Rattus norvegicus: one gene and its partner. The protein of the gene in region 1 interacts with the protein of each later gene in a pairwise test. Links are inferred from orthologs where the notes say so. Each region holds a gene or a part of one and is shown in the gene's direction. Other genes may lie near its edges.

The links.
Region 2: the proteins of Sec23b (region 1) and Hoxa3 interact in binary tests that used the Homo sapiens proteins (3 or more experiments, as listed by UniProt). The two-hybrid records come from large-scale screens. The link is inferred for Rattus norvegicus from reciprocal best matches to the Homo sapiens genes SEC23B and HOXA3.

Annotation. Positions count from the first base shown.
Region 1 is NC_086021.1:152,403,700-152,413,874, forward strand, and holds part of Sec23b (protein transport protein Sec23B), read left to right. Parts: intron 1-638; coding exon 639-797; intron 798-1,133; coding exon 1,134-1,249; intron 1,250-3,409; coding exon 3,410-3,533; intron 3,534-5,468; coding exon 5,469-5,549; intron 5,550-8,609; coding exon 8,610-8,699; intron 8,700-9,585; coding exon 9,586-9,692; intron 9,693-10,175. UniProt on the Homo sapiens protein: Component of the coat protein complex II (COPII) which promotes the formation of transport vesicles from the endoplasmic reticulum (ER).
Region 2 is NC_086022.1:82,599,209-82,609,119, reverse strand, and holds the end of Hoxa3 (homeobox protein Hox-A3), read left to right. Parts: intron 1-2,394; coding exon of another isoform or gene 2,395-2,641; exon of another isoform or gene 2,642-2,706; intron 2,707-3,052; exon of another isoform or gene 3,053-3,190; intron 3,191-5,556; 5' UTR 5,557-5,676; coding exon 5,677-6,205; intron 6,206-7,573; coding exon 7,574-8,379; 3' UTR 8,380-9,260; downstream 9,261-9,911. Other genes in the region: Hoxa3l1 (vasodilator-stimulated phosphoprotein-like), read right to left, coding at 2,395-2,641. UniProt on the Homo sapiens protein: Sequence-specific transcription factor which is part of a developmental regulatory system that provides cells with specific positional identities on the anterior-posterior axis.

The DNA of each region.
Region 1 (10,175 bases):
AGATTTTTATAGAGACCTATCAAATCATACAAGCTGTTCTTGTTCTTGTTGGCTTTGTTGGAAAATTTCTTGTGCCTCAAGTCAGCCCTTTGTCTATGTATTAGAAAATGTTTTGGGCTGGGGAGATGGCTCAGCAGTTAAGAGCACTGACTGCTCTTCCAGAGGTCCTGAGTTCAAATCCCAGCAACCACATGGTGGCTCACAACCATCTGTAATGGAATCTGATGCCCTCTTCTGGTGTGTCTGAAGACAATGACAGTGTACTCATATATAATAAATATATAAATCTGTTTTTTTAAAAAAAGAAAATGTTTCCATCATTATTATCCACATCGAGGAGGAACTCAGTATTTTGCAAATACCACAAAGTTTTCATGAAAAGCTAAGGGAATTAGGGTAGTGGAGTGCTTTTACTAAAGTAATGGAAGTTTACTGGTTTGGAGACAGTAAGATATACTCTTCTCCCCCACACCCCCATGGATGTTACTCTGCAGCAGAACTAGTGCCAAGAACCTGTGAGGCAGCAGGAGTGTGAAGACAGTTGGTTGTCTCTGGAGGATTTGAATATAGAAACAAACCGTGCTCAGAGGTGGAACTGTATGTTTCTGCCACAGTCTTTACGCTAACTCTATTTTTAGGGTACATTCCCAAATACTGGAGCCAGGATCATGCTGTTCACTGGTGGGCCCCCGACCCAAGGACCTGGCATGGTGGTTGGAGATGAATTGAAGACTCCTATTCGTTCCTGGCACGATATTGAGAAAGATAATGCACGGTTCATGAAAAAGGCAACCAAGGTAGGTACCCTCAGATGCCAGCTGTAATTACAGTCGCACAGCCAGGTGTGGACTGCTCCAGATCAGTGATGGCCGCTTGCTGAGGTCAGCGGGTGCTTGTGTAGTGACAGTCTTCCAGATCTTGCCTCTTTTGAACTCACTGACCCCACCTGACTGGTTAGAGTGAGCGGCTCTAGAGTGTTTAAAGAGTTTTGACTCTAAGGCTGCCTTTTGATTTTACATGCTGTTTTATAGGCGGTGAACTCTGTGCTCCCGTTGTTGATAACACCCTTAGGTGTGGTAAGATGTGCCTTGGGAACTATGCTTCTGTTTCCTAAGAGTTTTCTTTCTTTATAGCATTATGAGATGCTTGCTAATCGAACTGCTACAAATGGTCACTGCATTGATATTTATGCTTGTGCCCTTGATCAAACTGGACTTCTGGAGATGAAGTGCTGTCCAAATCTTACAGGGTAAGAGGTTCACATTGAACATCTGGGAACTAGGGAAGGAATGAATGATGGAGTTACGGGGTGAGTGAGGCCAGCTTTGGAGTTTTCTGGTGACTCTGAGGTTTGGAATGGGTGACTGGAAAGGGACTGTGGGCCCTGTGGAGGAAGAAGCAGTGCTTAGAAGAGGTCTCAGGATTTCACTGGGAACAAGTTGCATCCGAGTAACTTTGTTAATTTGTCTCTTCTTTGGAGTTGTTAGACTTGTCTGCAGACTAGGCCATCAAGCTGGTATGCAGTACCTGGCCTTCAGCAGGGCACTTCTTTGTGATAATGAGTAAATGCCATCTGAGTGTCAAGTAGTTAGAAGAAGCTTGACCTGGCCAATGACTCTGTGATTAATGCTAGTCACACTGTCACCGTATGGGGTACACTTGCCAACAAGTCATATTGTCCTCAAGTGAAAACGTAGAATAAATTCTCAGCCTGCAGTGATGGCTGGACTAGGAACCTTAGGCGCTCATGGGAACTGATTAGGAGTGTTCTTTGGTTTTCCTCAGACCTCTGCATCAAAAGCTCTTGGGGAGCAGTGGTGGAGATTGGGGTGTTCATGAAAGTGCGAGAAGCACTGAGGTGGACACTGAATCCGAAGCTCAGCTGCACATTAGTGTCACCTAGGGAGCGTTAAGAGTGAAAGGGCAACAAAACAAGCTGCTTTGCTGTCATGTTCTCCACTCCCAGTCCCCAGCAGCCTAAAATAATGAACATGGGCGTGGCTTGCGTATCAGCATTCTTCAAAGTTTCTGTCCTGTGGTTCTAACATAGATCAGAGTTTGAGCATACACAGCCTTGGTTTTGCTGGGAGCTCAGTAGAAGTGCAACCTCTCAGAGCTCATTTCCCACTTGCCCAATCAGAACCTACATCGACGGAATACGCACGCACGCAGGCACGCACGCATGCACCAGTGTGCACATGTGGCGGTCACAGGACACTGTGTGAAGTTAGTTATCTTCTTCCACTGTGTGGAACTCAGATTGAACATCTCTTGCTTGGTGGCAAGCACCTTTACTTGTTGAACCATCTTCTGGTCCAGATTTATGCCTTTCTTTTTTTTTTTTTTAAAGATTTATTTATTTATTATATATAAGTACACTGTAGCTGTCTTCAGACACACCAGAAGAGGGTATCAGATCTCATTACAGATGGTTGTGAGCCACCATGTGGTTGCTGGGAATTGAACTCAGGACCTCTGGAAGAGCAGTCGGTGCTCTTAACCGCTGAGCCATCTCTCCAGCCCCGATTTATGCCTTTCTAATCAACCTCCATAGTGATTCTTCTCTGCTCTCTTAGGGGCGGGCATAGGAGGTAGAGCCTAAGTCATTTGAGCGTGGTTTGGAATGGTCAGATACTAGAGATGAGATACATGTATTGTTGAACGGATTGGAATAGCGTGAGTTCCCACTGGTCCTGGTGGGCAGACCTGTAACACTAGCATTCTGGAGGATCTTGAGATCAAGGCTGGCCTGGGCTGTATAGCAAGAAGTTGATGTTACAAAGAAAAGCCCCTTTTCCAAAGAAGACAAAAGCCAATAACACAAGCGCTAGCAAGATGGCTCAGCAGGGAGGTGCCTGCCTGCCACCAAGTCTGAGGCTTTCAGTCCCTGATGCTCAAATGTGGAAGGAGACACCAACTCCTGCAGGTTGTCCTCTGACCTCTGAACCCTCCATGAATATGTACACCCACACAGAAACTTACAAATACACATATACAAGGAGATGATGGACACATGTAATGGGTGTGGGATGGGAGGGAGCACTAAAACAACCATGGAAACAATAGCAGTCCATGGCCTGGTCTAGGAGGATTACTTCAGGCAAAGTCACAGTGACCCCAGGCTGAGCTAGAGGGGTAGTAGATGGTTTTCCTGGAAAAGGCACTGGTGATCCCTTAGTGCTGGGTTTCCTCGCTGAGATGGTGTGCTTTTTCCTTTAAACATTCAATTTACAGGGGGCACGTGGTCACCTGGAGACACCTGGCAGGGAGGGAGGAAATTCTGTGTGTGTGTGTATGTGTGTGTGTGTGTGTGTGTATGTGTGTGTGTAAATTGTTTGCGAATCTTACGGGAACGACCAAAATGGCTTCCAGTCCTTTGAAATGTGTACTCTCCCCCTTTCTTATCCAGAGGCCTCATGGTGATGGGAGACTCATTCAACACCTCTCTCTTCAAGCAGACCTTCCAAAGGATTTTTAGTAAAGACTTCAACGGAGATTTCAGAATGGCGTTTGGTGCTACCCTGGAAGTCAAGGTGCAGTAGGCGTCTAGAAAAGTTTGATTTTAAATTAGCTTATATAATTAGCTTATAGCATTTTCATACATGCATGATAAATACTTAATTATTTATTATTTACCTGAGGCAGGGTCTTACTGTGTGTATCCTCAATTGGCTTGGAACTCACTAGTCTAGAACAGGCTTGCCTCGGACTCCTAGAGATCTGCTGCTTCTCCCTCCAGTGTGCTGTATTGTACGTAGCCATATGACAACTTTTGAAACTTGATTGGGATTAGTGTGGCTCAGCTTAGACCCTGCAGCCTCAGCTGATAGATATAAGCTTTAATGACCACTTAAAAGGATCCAGTAAGATGGATATCACGAAGTATTTGGTCCACTGTATTCCTTTCTTCTCAGGGATTACCCATGTGTTTATTAAGGTTCTAAACAGAAAGTTTCTCTTTCTCCTCAGACCCTGCTCTGTTGCACCCTGGTTAAGGATAGGTAGAGTTAGTTGGGTGTGTGGTGGGTGTTGGTTGCCATACTGGGGCTTAAAGACAGGCAAGTCACACATGGTCAGTATCCACCCAGCCATCGGTGTGAGCCACTGCACTGCAGAGTGGGGTTTATATTTAAGAAGAACGTGGTGTTCAAATACTTTGTAGGAAATCAGAGTCCTAGACAACTGAATCTTAAGCAATTGAGAAACCATTAAAAGGGGCTGTTAGAAACTTGGTTAGAGAATTAGAGAAAAGCATTAAATTATCTAGGGTAGGCTTTAAACAGTGTCTTTACATGTTTAAGGGGTTTGCTTCATTGCTTATTTAGCAGAGTTGGAAGTTGTTAAAAAAGGGGATAGGGAGCTGGCTCTGTGGATGTAGTGCCTGCTGTGTAAGCATGAGTGCCTTGAGTTAGGATCCCAGCATCTATGTAAAAGCTAAGAGGAATGGGTTGAGCGCATGCTTTAATCCCAGCACTGTGGAGGCAGAAGCAGGTGGGTCTCTGAGTTCAAGGTCAGCCTAGTCTACAGAGCTAGTTCTAGAACAGCTAGGGCTACACAGAGAAACCCTGTCTAAAATCACCCCTGCCTCCCCCAAAAAGAGGTGTGGACTGAATTCATTTTTATTGAAATGAAGTCAGATTTTAAATAATAATTTAAGAAAAAAAAATTAAGAGTCAGAAAAATCTGTGAGTTCAGAGCCAGCCTGGTCTATGTAGTGAGTTCCAGAACAATCAGGACTACATAGAGGTGACATGCCTCAAAGAAAAGAAAAGGAAAGAAAAGAAACGAAAAAGATCTCCGTTGGTCTTACCATTTTGTTAGGGTTTGTGAATTCAGTATTTTTAAAGGAATACAAGACAATGTTTACTGGATAGAAATATGTAAATAAGTATGAATATGCATGGTATTTGGAAAAGAATGTAATGCAGTTGGTAGAGTTGTTACCTTTCATATATAACAGTATCAAAGGTTGGAAATGAATAGAGTTGAAAATGCCACCTGGCCAGGTGTGGGGGTGCCATCCTGTATCCTGGCATTTAGGCAGAGGCAGGAGGATTGTGAGTGTAAGTTCACTTGAGCTATCCATGGATTTCCAGGCTAGTCTCAGCTACTTGGGGATTCTGCTTCAAATCAAACAAAAGAACTTTGTCTTGATTTTGAGATGGTCTAATGAACTCAGACTGGCCTCAAATACACTCACTATACATCGAGGCTGGCCTTGAACTCTTCATCTTTGCCTCAGCCTGCTGAGTATTACTATTGAACCATTACACCTGGTCTTTTGATGGACTTTCTATGGTGGACTTTGTTGACGCTTTAACCAGCTCCTAGTGTTCTTGGAAAAGCCTGAGTGGGCATTTAGATAGTGTACTCTATTAGCAATTTTCTCTGGGAATTTTCCTCTAAGTTTGTATTATGATCGTAGTAGCAGCAGGCTGACTGTTAACTTAATGTGTGATTTGTTTTAGACCTCTCGGGAACTGAAGATTGCAGGTGCCATTGGTCCATGTGTGTCTCTGAATGTGAAAGGACCATGTGTGTCAGAAAATGTAAGGAAAATCACCTTCTCACTTGCCCTGTAGTAAACTCATTAGCTAAGTCAGACCATGATGATCTTGTATTGTATCACGGGAGGTGACTTGTCTGAGAGGAGCTCTAACCCTCACTGATGACAACTCTAAGAGGTATTGTCATCTGTCCTTCTGCTCACTGATATGTCTTTGACCAGAGAAGAAAACATGGAGTCAGGGAGGTTAAGTTAACCCTTACACAGCTGCTGATGAAGAGGACCCAGATCTCAGGTTCCTCCCACGTCTGATATGTGGATGCTGTCTCACTGAGAACAAAAGCAATTCTACAGCAAATTCAGAATTCTTCCAGAATAACCTGTGATAACGAGTGAGACCTCTTAGTTGGTCGGACAGTGGATGGATGATGCAGATGCATATGTATTGTTAGTTATGAGAGCAAAGTGCAGGCATCCCCTTGTGTAAGTGGCTTTGCTGATGGTCCCCAGGCTGTGAGCATGCTTTAGCTGCTAAAAGCCACAGCACCTGATTTATGAGGCCTCTTCTGCATTGGTTACGTGTACTAAGTGTAACCTCAGAATATGAAAATGTATCAGTGAGTGTTGCATCAAGGGATGAAGTCACAGATTCCTCTTTGATTAATTTGATCCAGAGTAAGCCCAAGTTTGAGCTCTTCACTTCTCTCTGTTCTTCTGTCTGTCCATAGTTACTGGTCTATCCGTGATCTCCATGGGTGTCTGTGCCCTTGCCTGTCTGAATGCTGTCTGGTGTCTCACTTTCCCTTTGTCTGTCTGTGGTCTGTATTTACTGAACAACCCAGGAAGGATCCCATGGAGAAGGAAGAGGGTTTCTTTACAAAAGTCACTAACAGGTTTACAAGGGGAGAGGTCATTTTACTGACCCCAAGTAACCCCAATTTGCACTCAGTGCTGCAAACAAGCTATGCCTATATGTTGTTTCTAAGATGTGTGGTGAGTGTTTTATAAGGTCGTTTCCAACATGTTGGCTGTTGTTAGCTACATGTATACATATGTACACATGTCTTACTCTGGCTCAGGAGCATGGGAGAGTATATAATGTAAGGCTGCATGTATACATATGTACACGTGTCTTCCTCTGGCTCAGGAGCATGGGAGAGTATATAATGTAAGATTAACTCAGTGCGTTAGTTCAGGTTGTAAAAGCTGATTCATGGGCTGTCCAAGGCAAGTAAGGTTAGTGTTACATCGTTATTTTAAGGTTGCACACCAACAGACTGATTGCACAGTAGGATAGCCTGTGATCAAGAGGTGTATTTGACTGTGAGGTCCAACAAAATTTCAATCCTTTAGAATGCAAGAACTTTTTTCCCCCCTATAAAATTGTATCACTGCAGTCTCTGAGGTGTCCTGGGATGTTGTTACACAGTCTTGTCCTTCCCTTCTTGTCATCCACAGTGGGAGGTGGACGATAGAACTGTTGTGGACTTAGGGTGCATACACTCACTAGCTGAGTGGCCTGGGTACAATTCTTAACGCTTTATAATTGAGTGTTTCTAGAAAATGGGAAAATAGCAATATCTACTTAAGAATGTTAGGAGTGAATGAGGTTGGTCGGTTGGCACACTTAGGACAAGACACACTGGAGCCCCATACAAGTTGTATATCTCTTGTATGTCAGAGCCGACACTGGCAGTGACTATATAAATGAAAGTTTTGTCGAGCTTGGCAGGGGTTCACTATTTGTATACACGCCTCTGTAGTCCTTGGATGAAGGACTTTCTGCCCCAAAGCCCAATGAAGGTTGTTTGTCTCAGTGTGCCAAGTGACTTGCACCACCATTCCTGTTTTCGTGGAAGGGCTTTGGAAGCCTGCCCCCCCCAGGATACTTTCTGTGAGCTGGAAAGTCTCCCTGACGAAGGTTCCTGCAGTGGTTTTAAAAAGATACTTTAAAACGTGCACCACACTGATTAGTTTCCATTTGAATTCAGCATTGAAAGTTTTGGTTGGAGGGTGAGGATGCTTTCAGGGTTAAGGAAAGCGCAGCTGCAATCATGCTGCAGTCTTAGGAACCGTACATGTGTTCCTGTGTACCCACCTTCTAGCACCACCGGGAGGTGTTGGTGGCATTCCATAGCAGTTGGTGCTGCATTTGCCCACTGTGTGTAGTTATGACCTCCTGCTATGTTTGCTTTACCACCATTATTTTCAGAAACCTTTGGAAATAATTTTCAGATGTCATGACACTTGGTTCTTAAGTGATATACAGTGTGTATATTCTAAAAATAAGGCTGTTATATCATTTCCTCATTGTCAAGTCTGTGAAAATGAACAATGATCTCAAAGTAGCATCTGGTACAGCACCTAGCCTGCGCTCTCTCCCCACTTTGCTCCCAACTGCTCTCTGTGGCTCTCCTAATCCCACCAGCGTTGCTTTCAGTTCCGTAGCCTTAATTTTTCAAGCCCGAGCCTAGCCCTCACCTTTTGCTCTCTTCTTTCTGTTTCTGTGCTTTTATGTTTCCAGACAGTGATGTTGAAGGCAGTGCTGAATATCTTCTCTAGAGGAGTCTGCGGTCTGGGGCATCTGCTTCTGCACAGTGGTATTTAAGCTGTTTCTCTCCTCCCTGTGCTTGAGTGAATGGAAGTTAGGGTTAAAGATAAAACCGGAATCTGCTCAAAGCTTCTGTCTGTCCCTATGATTTCTAGTTGATCTTCAGCTCTGTTTTATTATTCTAATAGTGATGAAAAAAGCAATTGCAGCTTTTAAACCAATTCTCTTTGTTTTTTTTCCCAACATTTGACATGATTCTTTGTTGACTTAAGTATTATATGCTGTATATATGTTTTATATATATGATGTATTAAGATGATTTAGAGTGCCTGTATAAAAAGGTTAATTTTAAAAGTACTATAAATGTAAACATCAAGATTCCTTCTGGTTTGTAATTATACATTTTCTAGATGTTTTTACTTGAATTTAAAATTTTAGCTTGGACCAAATGTTCAAATGTGACCTACCCCGCTCATTCAGTGTTTCTAACTCCTGGTTTCCCTCAGGATTTATTTTCATATGTGCCTTTTGAAATTCCCCTCTCATCCCTAGGAGCTCGGCGTTGGTGGCACAAGTCAGTGGAAGATCTGTGGCCTGGATCCTTCGTCTACTCTTGGCATCTACTTTGAAGTTGTCAATCAGGTGCGTAGCAATTTTCATGTTACAATTTCTTCTGATTTATTAGGAAGTACTGTGTCCTGGCTTGATATACCTTTGGTATCCTGTTAGCTGTTGTGTTAATTTGGTGTGCTCTTTTAAAATTCCCTCCAGCATTTAGTTAGAATCAAGCAGCAAATTACTTTGCTCCTTTATTGTTGATCTGACAAGGTCCTGAGATGAGTACTGGCTTTTCTTAGCTGTCATAACTCATGAATTTTTGAGGGAATCAGTCTTTTCCCAATATTTTGTTATGCGAAATCACAAATATCCAGAAGAGTTGGTCAGACTTGTACAGGAACACCTGCATAACCACTACTTAGATTCTATAATCTATTCTACATGGTTGCATTGTTAACTGTCTCCATTTTATTTTCTGTGCTTTTGTGGGTGCAGGGGAGATGAGACGGGGTGTCTTGTAGACCAGTGTGGCTTTGAGCTTCGGATCCTTCTGCTTCCATATTCAAGTGCTGGGATCGCAGGTGTACGTCACCACACCTGGCTTATTTTTGATACGCTTCAGAGCAACTTGCAATCACCCGTGGTTTTCATCTCTAAATAGCTTAGCACCAATTCGTCAACTGAGAGTTTACTTTTATTCCTTCTGATACTGGGGACTGAACCCAAGGCCTCATGTATTGTATGCACACGATCTATCACTGAGCTACATAGCCAGCCCCAGTTCATTTGAATGTGCTACTGCTCCTCCTCCTCCTCCCCTCTCCCTTTTAGATAAGATACAATGATACCATAGAACATGCATGTCCTAAGTGTACCAGTGAAAATGTACTGAGAACCTCAGTGCTTTAGAAGGACCATGTTTAAGTCATGCCTGTGACAGTAACCAGATGTGTGGCCTCTCATCCTGCAGCACAATGCCCCGATTCCCCAGGGAGGCAGAGGTGCCATCCAGTTTGTCACTCAGTATCAGCATTCCAGCACTCAGAAGCGCATCCGAGTGACCACCATTGCCCGCAAGTGAGTGTCTTGTCTCTTTCTTCTTGACCAAGGCTGAGGAGTGTCCTGTGAGCATTTTAACTGCCTTGACTTTATCTTTCTGGTTCTTTGGCTGGTCTTCCCAGTTCCTTGCTCACTCACTGATCAGCCCTTCTTGGTTAACCCAAGTGAACCTTTATGCACTTACCAAGAAGAAATCAGCTTTCAGTAGCAATATAGTTAATTAAAAACTTTTTGTTTTATTTGTTAGATAAGTAAATTATGTATCTCGTTAAAGAAGTAAACAGAACATAAGTGCAATTGGCCCTCTGTATCCATCTGTTTCATAACCATAAATGTAACCATACTGGAATGGAAAATATTATTTGACATTATGTCTGTATTAAACATGTAGGGACTTCTTTAAAAATTCCATAAACAGGGCTGGAGAGATGGCTCAGTGGTTAAGAGCACCCGACTACTCTTCCAGAGGTCCCGAGTTCAATTCCCAGCAACCACATGTGG
Region 2 (9,911 bases), on another chromosome or scaffold:
GCACACACAGTAAGAAGCCAATAACTGCTTTCATAGAGCACAGTTGGTTTTTTTTCTCCCCTCCCAGGAAAGAACTACCACTCGAGTTATGGCCAAATGATTAGCTATTAGAAAGACTGGTCCCCCTCGACGCTCAAAGTACCGGTCTCAACTTACAGGCCAGCATATTTTCTCAATACCTTCTTCCCTGCCCATCTTTGGATTTTAATGCTACTTCTTGCCAAAAGTTACTCCTCACCTTCCTCCCCAGCTTGCTTGCACAGAGAGCCTCAGGAGCGGTGAGCCCCCTCAGAGATGGGGAGGGCACCCCTTGGATGGCAGAAAGGCTCCATCAGACACCTTCGTTGCTCCAAATACTCTTCGGTGCCTGAGAAAAATGCTTCTTCTAGTCCCTCTGGAAATCATAGGACTTAGGGAAGACGGGGAAGGGAGCTCACGGATGCTGAGCAAAGAAAAGCTTGGTTGGTGGTTTTGGAGAAGCTGTGTATGAACTGCGGGACTGGCCTGGAAAGAACCGCGGCAGGGAGCAATTTCTAGAGGTGGAAATCAAACAGTGTATCTTCAATCACAACACAGTAACACACCAACAAGATCCTGCTATTATAAATTATTAATTTTAATAATCTCGCCTGTGCTTGCTCCAAAGCCAGTCCTTTGGATTTCAGATGAGAAGCGTTAAGGCCAGGGTACCCGCAATCTATGTGCCAGGGCCAGACCCGCATATTGAAATCAGAGCTTGATTTTGCCGGCTGGGGCCCACCGCCCAGAGCCACCTGGGCGCTAGTCGAGGGAGCGTGGAGGCCCTGGTCTGAGTAAGCTCTCACCCGAGCTCTCCCGCGGCTCTTGCAACTCCTCCGGTCCGGCCTGGTCCTGGCGCTGGGGCTGCTGGGCTTGGTTTGGTCGAGCCGGAAAGGTATGCGTTGAATACGCCTTAGCCCTTTGCTCCAACGCTCTCAGCCCCTTTGGACCAGACAGTCCTGTCCTAGGTCTGGTTCTCACGGCCTTCCCTGCAGCTGGCTTAGCTGAGAAGGCGGTGAGAGTCGCGTCAGCAGTTTGGAGGAGAAAGTGCGGGTTGATTATTGACCCACGCCTTCTTTCTTCAAATGCCACATCCGACCCTGAGGGTTTGAAGGGAAAATGCCGCCGAGCGGATTTTTGCGGCCGGCTCTCACCTCCTACACGTCCCGGGCTCTTCCCTTTCAAGTTGCGCCGCTGCAATATGCCATAAGGAGCAAGTGTTTGCTGTTTTGTGCTCTGTTTACAGCTTTGGGGAGCCGAGTCATAAATCTTGCCCAGCCATAAATGACAAAAACCATTGGTATGCATGAGGCTACCCTGGCCCGGAGTCCTTTTTGATTTCTCCCTTTCCCCCCTGGCTTTGTTTTTGCTCTAAGGTGACACTTTGGCTCCCTGACAGTTTAAACATACTACTTATATTTTTAACACCTTCCTTTGAGAAGGACCCTCGTTGACGCCTCGGAATTGCACGAAAGCTCCATTTCTCTCCTTTTTTTTTTTTTTTTTTTTTTTTTTTGCTTCTGAAGCTGGGAAGCTGAGGGGGTATTGGGAATGATCCCATCCCCTTTAACGTTGTGGCATATTAACAAGCAAATTTAGGCTTTCGCTCAACCCAGCAAAAGGAAGGCCACTCAACTAATTAGAGGGTGAAATACCCTGGACGTCCATTTGTGTTGGTGTCAGAGCCTTATCTCTCTTCCTTACGGGCTACCTGCTTCCGTGTCTGTACTATGCAATGGGTACACAAGAGGTGGAGACTCAAGTTTCTGAATATCTTTGTGTGTGCCTGAGCCCAGAGAGGATCATTTCACTGTGGGGACAGTTGTCCATCTCTCGGGGACACTTCCCTCCGTTAGGCCTAGAAATTTAATCGAAGGCAGTTGAGTTGCTTATGGGAGGTGTGTGGAAATAGGCCCTATACCACAGGGACTGGCTTTAGGGTGTCTGTATTGGGAGCGAGCGGCAGGTGAAGAAAACTGTCAAAGTCAGAGCAACTCATTTCTTCTTCTCTTCTTTCCCCATCCCCCACCCCATGAAAACGTCCATGGCAGGGAATTGCGTGGTTTCTCAGACAGATTCTTAAAAAATAGAACCCCGCAAGAGAGCCCCTTTGTGAGAGCCGTTTGTCCTCATTAGCATAATTTTCCTGGACTTTAGTGACGCCTAGGAAGGAGAGGGAGGGCGTGGGGTGGGGGAGGCCGCCCTCCTCCCTCTGCCGCCGAGCTCGCTCTGCTCCTGTTCCTCCCCTCGCCTCAGCCCCATCCCCCATGCCGGCGCTTCCCTAGCCGCTCTGCTCTCCCCTCCCGCCCGCCCCGGCACCCCTTACCGCACCCCCCGACCGACCCCTGCTCGGCGCAGTATTCATAAGAAACATACCCAAGTCGGTGCCACTAGCCCCGCGGAGCCCGGCCGCGCCAGCGCTTATCTGGGGCCGCGGCCGCGGGCAGGGCGGGGGCGGGCGTGGGGGGAGGGGAGGGGAGGGGGTCCAGCCGCCCCAGTCCGCCGGGGGCCAGCCGCCGGAGCAGCTAGCGGTCCGCCTCTCCGCCGAGTCCCGGCCTTGGGGTCTCCGGCCCGCACGCCCGCCCGCACGCCGGCTCGGCGGATGCTGAGGGTCGGTGGCCATCCCGCGCCGAGGGGACCCGGGGCCGCAGCCTGAGCCCGAGCCCGCGGCGGCCGTCAGAAGTTAAGGTAAGCGGGGCCACCACCGGCCGCTCTCAGCGCTGAATGGTGGAGTGTACGTCTCGGTGATTTATGGCTGCAGACTTAAATCTCGGTTCAAGAAGAGTTCACAAGCCGGAGCTTCCTCGCCGGCAGTGACTGATACCCTCACACTTCAGTTCAGGCCGCGCTCCCATCCCCGCCCCCACTCTCCCCTCTTCCCTAGCCCAGCCTCAACTTTTCTGGGCTGGTGAGATAGAGAGGGGAGTGGGCTAGAAATCGGGGCTTCTACCTCGACGTCCCCTTTCAAACTCGGGTGAGGGAAGCTAAGGGAAGAAGAGGGAGCGGAGTCTGGAGAAGTCGAATTTGGGCATACCTTGTGTAGAGACACAGGGCTTCTGGCTTCCTGAATTCAGTTCTTGCCTCCTCAACTCGCTTCAGCTCTTGCACCTGGAGGTTATTGTCTAGGAACAGAGCTTTGGGGAGGAATCTCCCTCCACCCTCAACCTTTGCTTGTGGGGGACAAAGCAAAGTTTCCTGGCTGGCAAATCTCCAACTTCTTTACTAAATTGAAACTTTGGGGGCTGGAGGGGGCGGGTTGTGTGGACTCCAAGGTGACTGCGAACCTCAAACAATGGGATCTCTGAGTTGAATTCAGGTTTTAAGTTTGTGGACGCTGCCCTATGCACTTTGATTTTAAAGTTATTTTTGTGATTCTTTCAAGACAATGCACAGTACAATGGAAAAAGGTTTAAGCAAGCCGTAGGCTGGTATAGCCTGTGCTAATGGCTTAGAAAGTCACTAGAAACCCTGCACGTTCAAAATCAACTAATTTTGTTTTATCTAATATTTTGCTGTTCGTATGTCTAGAGTCATTTTCTTAATCTGACGTTTATCTTAATTAGGCTTGGTGCCTCAAAAATTTATGACAGACATTAATGCTACCAAATGTAATGGGAATTGTTTTCAATGTAAGAACGAGAAAAGTAGATATTAGATTATAATTCACTCTTAAATTTTATTTTACCCTTTATTTACTTTCCATAGTGTTATCTGTAACTTCCTAGATGTTTTCAAAAGGGAAACAGCATTCAGGCTTCATGACAAGCACAGTAATTCTGGATAAGTGCTGCTGTAATTTTTATTGAGGTTCTGGAAAGTTAATTGTGCCTGTTTTCCAGATGCTGATTAGATTGTTGGTTTGATGATGAAATCTAAGGGAGTTCATTATTACGAACAAAACTATAATCGTCCACTGGTGGATGCTTGCTATGTATATATTTCCCTGGTTGACAGTTGGTACTTCTAGAAAAGTTGAATAACTCTGGGATCGAGTAGCCATAGACAGGGCTTTAAATGTTAAACATTATCTACATGGATTTACTGTTACAGCTTTTTTAGCTGTCAGAGGGACTAGCATTCTGATGGTGTGGCTAGGGGTGAACATGTAAGACTTCCAAGGAACTTTTCTTGCTGAGAATTATAAGTTTATCAGGAGAACACAGATTTCATTTCTATAAAGTACTTTCTAAATAAGAGATTTGGGCTTTTTTTTTAAATGTTTTTCTTTACTTGGTACTTCTGAAGCAGGAAAATGAACCAAATAACAAATCTGATCAACAACAGTATGTACAAAGATCAGGGACGTCTGGCAGGAGTTTATGGTTTGTGCTTCCTCCTCTGGAGCCAAATGACCCCCATACATCAAATTACATAGCAGTTTCTAAGACAGAACCTATTATCGTTAAGTTGGAAGGAGAGTTCAAGCCGTGGTCATGGAGATGAACGCTGGTTTTTCAGGTTCCTGGTGGGTTGTTTTTTTTTTCTCTAATCCATCATGTTTTAACAGGTAGAATTTGATAGTTGCCCAGAATAACAGCACCTCAGAAAATCTGAGGCAGGAGAGTCGTCGGGAACCTCCTGAAACTTTGAAAAAGAGGTTGAAGTGACTTGTTTCAGTTTGTCTGAAAAACAGGGTGGGAGAAAAGGTAGAGAAAATTCCAGGATTTGAGTTGTGTGTGACTTGTGGGTGGAGTTGGGAAAGACCAAGACCAACACCACGCACACGCGCGCGCGCACGCGCGCATACACACACACACACACACATGCACACACACGCGCACACACACACACACACACACACACACACACACACACACAGGTTGGTGGTGGTGTCCTTCTAAAGTTTTCTCTCCCACCCACCCTCTTCTTGACCTTATAGGGTTGATTTGGAGCAGGTTGGTCCTCTTCCCTGAACTAGAACAAACCTAACAAACTCAGCTTCCAAAGTCCATCATGATCCAATAAGGCAATTGCCTACTTGTGTGTGTGTGTGTGTGTGTGTGTGTGTGTGTGTGTGTGTGTGTGTGCAAACCTCCTTTGAGAACTCCAGGAAAAGCCTGGTTAGGAAGGAAATCTGACTATCTTAGGTCTTTTGAACAAATATGAATTCTAAAATGAGAATTGGAGGAAAAATGACCCTTTGCCCTCTTGAGAGTTCCCCCAAGATCTCGATCGAGAAAGCTCCGGCTTCTACAAAGGGACACCACGGTTTCTTCTGCAAAAGAAAGACCCCAAAGTAGCTTCCAGACCCCGTCTCATTTTAGACCTCGGCTCCGGAGACCTAGCTCCCAGCCCTTACTGGTTCTACTGCTCCGCAGAAAATCCCCCAACTCCAGACGCAAGTTAAGCAAATATTTGTAGCTGCCAGTAAATTCCAGCAGCTTTTTATAGTGCGGCTCCCTGCGCCCGGGGCCACGTCGTGCTGCTAAATATTGCTGACCACTTTTTCTTTTATGGCTTTCATGTCACTTAGCTATTGAGAGTAAGATGGATTTGCGCGGAGCCCTCACCGCGCTGCACTTCTCCCCCCTCCCTCAGGTCTGCGCGCGGCGGCCATTGGCGGCGGAGTGTCACGTGACTGCGGGGGCGTGCCAATGTGCTCCCTTACGGGTGTCAAGCCCTTGTCAGAGAGTGTGATCACGATCGTGAAACATCGCGATGCAAAAAGCGACCTACTACGACAGCTCGGCGATCTACGGTGGCTACCCCTACCAAGCAGCCAATGGGTTCGCTTACAATGCCAGTCAGCAGCCATACGCGCCGTCCGCCACTCTGGGCACGGATGGTGTTGAGTACCATCGACCCGCCTGCTCCCTCCAGTCTCCCGCCAGCGCTGGGGCCCACCCCAAAAGTCATGAGCTGAGCGAAGCTTGTCTGCGCACCCTGAGCGGGCCTCCTAGCCAGCCCCCAGGCCTGGGTGATCCACCTTTGCCTCCACCTCCTCCCCAGGCAGCGCCCCCAGCCCCCCAGCCTCCACAGCCCCCACCACAGCCCCCTGCACCCACCCCTGCAGCTCCTCCGCCTCCCTCATCTGTCTCTCCCCCTCAAAGTGCCAACAGCAACCCTACCCCTGCCAGCACAGCCAAGAGCCCCCTGCTCAACTCTCCCACCGTGGGCAAACAAATCTTTCCCTGGATGAAAGAGTCAAGGCAGAACACTAAGCAGAAAACCAGCGGCTCCAGCTCAGGTAAATGGATGCCTTTTGGAGGCGGGGCCTCTGGCCAAGCTCCAGGCTCCAAGCCACTTCTAGCTATGCCAGCTAGCTATTCCCTGGAGCAGAGGAGCATCTCCAGAAATTTGCCCCTACCCCCCCACCCCCACACACACCAAGGGGAAAGATCTTTCCAGAATCTTTGCTACTTAGGGAGGTGATAAGGTTTCCGTGCAAGGATCCCTCAGACATAAATCTGACTCAAGTCCCTCTGGGCGTCTCTAAGGAGGTTTGAGCCTAGTGACGTTGAAACCCTTCTTTGTTCCAGTGTTGGGAGTTCTGACCTCTAGATAGATCCATCCTCAGGACCACTGTCTCTCTAAGCCCACGGCTCCTTTTTTCTAGGCAAACAGTGGCATCCTCCCCAGACTGAAACGTGGCAGAATAAAAGCAGGCCTAGTCATCACCCAAGTCAGAATCAATGCTTTGTCTATAATCAGAGCCAATGTTCTCTGCAGCAGATGGACTGGCTGCTTTACTTCTGGGAAGGAAGGCCTTGCTCAGCCTTAGTACAATGCAGGAGGCAGCCGGGCATCCCCTGGGGGAGGGGATTCAGCTTGTCATCCTAATGGGAACCACATGGGGCTTTGGGAACTGGACTCCAGTGGGGGAACCTTAGCCTCAGGGACTTGGGCTTCCAATCTTCTTGGTTACCTTGGGGGCCTTTCCTCTCTGGTTTCCTTGGCTCTCCTCCAGAACTGATATTTGGGGAGCCAAGGAGGACAGGAGGCACAAACGTGATGGTTCAAATTGGGGCAGCCTTCATGGTGACATTGAGAACCTCATGATGAAGACTCCTTAAAGCCTGGGCTTCTCTACCAGAACTAGATAGCTTTGGTGAGGTCTGGTCTCTTTGGTCAGAGGTCTCCCAGTTGGACAATACCAACCTGTTCGTCTCCTCTTAGTAGATATCGGAAACTGGTTAGTTGAAGCTAATGGCTGACCACTCAGGCAGGATGAAAGGTCTTCATGTATACACTAGGTCTCCCACATTCCAGCAACTGAAGGAACCTGCTCACAGGAAGCTTGTTTTCTGCTGGACCAGTAAATAAGCTGGGCGAGTCAAATAGAGAGGAAGTGCAGGGCAGCAAGGCAAGCAGGAGGCTCTGCTGCTCTGTCCTCTCCTTGAAGAAGCCCCTGATTTGCTCCTTAGAGGAAGGAAGGGCAGGCTAACCAGGCCATTTCCGCACACCAAGGGAGGAAGGCAGCACTGAAGTCCTGCTCCTCTCTGGCCTTGGACAGAGGCTTCTGTGGGGTGAAGAAAGGAGGGGCAGGCCTAGGACTGGGGAGCTGGGCGGGGTCGCTAGCAGCCCCTGACTCCGCTCTTCCTCTGTGTTCTGGCAGGGGAGAGCTGCGCTGGTGACAAGAGCCCGCCTGGGCAGGCTTCGTCCAAGCGCGCGCGCACGGCGTACACGAGCGCGCAGCTGGTGGAGCTGGAGAAGGAGTTCCACTTCAACCGCTACCTATGCCGGCCGCGCCGAGTGGAGATGGCCAACCTGCTGAACCTCACCGAGCGCCAGATCAAGATCTGGTTCCAGAACCGCCGTATGAAGTACAAGAAGGACCAGAAGGGCAAAGGCATGCTGACTTCGTCTGGGGGCCAGTCCCCAAGTCGTAGCCCTGTGCCTCCCGGTGCAGGAGGTTATCTGAATTCTATGCATTCGCTGGTCAACAGTGTCCCATATGAGCCCCAGTCACCCCCTCCTTTCTCCAAGCCCCCCCAAGGCGCCTACGGGTTGCCTCCGGCCTCCTACCCTGCTCCCCTGCCCAGTTGCGCTCCCCCACCTCCCCCACAGAAACGCTACACAGCGGCGGGGTCAGGCGCAGGGGGCACCCCTGAGTACGACCCACATGCTCACGGCCTGCAGGGCAACGGCAGCTATGGGACCCCACACTTACAGGGAAGCCCCGTCTTCGTAGGGGGCAGCTATGTGGAGCCCATGGGCAACTCTGGGCCAGCACTCTTTGGCCTAACTCACCTCCCCCACACCACCTCGGCTGCCGTGGACTACGGGGGCTCTGGGCCGCTGGGCAGCGGTCACCACCATGGGCCTGGGCCTGGGGAGCCACACCCCACCTACACGGACCTTACTGCCCACCATCCTTCTCAGGGAAGAATTCAGGAAGCGCCCAAGCTCACCCACCTGTGATGATGGGCTGGGGCTGCAAGCCAGGAGAGTTGCCCACCCAACCTTCTTTGGTTTCTTTTTCCTCTGTTTTGTTTTGTTTTATGTTCTTCTCGCCTTTCCCCTTTCTCCTCTGCACCTCTCCCTCATTTTCCCCCTTCGGTAATGCGTTTTTATAGTTTATGTGACGTAGCAATCTTGGTTGCTGGAAAGGCTGTCAGTATCAGTAGCAACATTTACTACCACCCCTCCTCGCCCTGGCCTCTGGCCCTGCACCCTCTACCCTCTCTACTCTTCGATAAGAAACAGGGTATATGAACAAACTTTCTAGTCGAGTTTTCAATGTGAATTTGTTCATACTTTATGGCTCCCGAGAGGAAGCAACTGCGTTTTTTTTTTTAAGTTTTAGTTTTTAAAATTGCACTTCTTGTAATGATCGAGAAAAAGAAATCAAAGGCGCTTTGAAACAGGGACTCCCTGTGCAAAGTTGACTAAGTGTACGTCTTTCCGTGTGTGTGTGCTGGTGAACAGTCAGATTTATTTATATTTTTTTGCAAGCATTGAATAGTCTAAGTTTTAAATATTATTTATCCCCATCCGTTCGTATTTATATTAAAGAAATTCTGTACCCTGATTGTTCAGAAGGTTTCTTGAGCCTTTTGTTCAATGGTGTATTGGCATACATATAAAATTTATTTGAAAGGGAAATAAAATTCCTTTATAAAAACCGTAGCAATGCAATAAGAACAGAGAGGACCCAGAGTTTGAAAATAGTGGTTTAGGTTTGTAACATCCGGCAAAACTGAACGCTAAAAATGCCAGATTTGTTTTGAGAGTTTTACATTCCTTGCTGCTCACATTCTGAGAAACAAAACAAAAAAAAATAAAGTTTTTATTCTGATTAAGATCCGTGTCAAAAGGGGTTCTTTGGCTGGAGACGGGTCTCTGCGTGGAGTTCTGGCAGAAGCGAGCTGGCAGCGGCTGCAGCAGCACTGCGACTCCGGCGTGCGGCCTGGTCCGGCGGCGTCTGCCTTGGAAGCTCAGCGAGCTCTGGGGATAGAGGCCGCGGTTTCAAGCGACTGCTGCCGCTGCTCGGGAAATGCCGTGCTCCGGGCCCGCTGAGCTGCCTGGTTCCCAGCTGCCGCCCAAGCAGGGCGCCAGGCTGCTGAGTGCGGGGCGGCCTGGCAGAAACAAAGGCGGTCGGCCTGGGCGCAGCGGGCGGCGCACAGGTGCGGGGCGCCGCGCACCGAGAACCCGGGGCTCCTCTTCATTTTCCCCCGCACCGAAGGCCCAGCGGCCAAGGCCTCAACCTTGGGAACAGCACAGGGTCTTAAGCTCTTCTCACAAGCTACCGAATTCCAGGTCTCCACTGAGGATGCTTCGCGGTTCATTATCACTTCTGAAGAAGAGGGGGTGGGGGTGTCTCTTCTAAATTCACCTTGAAAGGGACCTATCCCTCTGGTCTCCAGGAAAAGCTTCATAGAGTCCTCCAGGCCTTCCTTGGGCTGGAAGGAATCACTTCCATGAATCTCAGCATCAAATTCCTCCCGGAATTC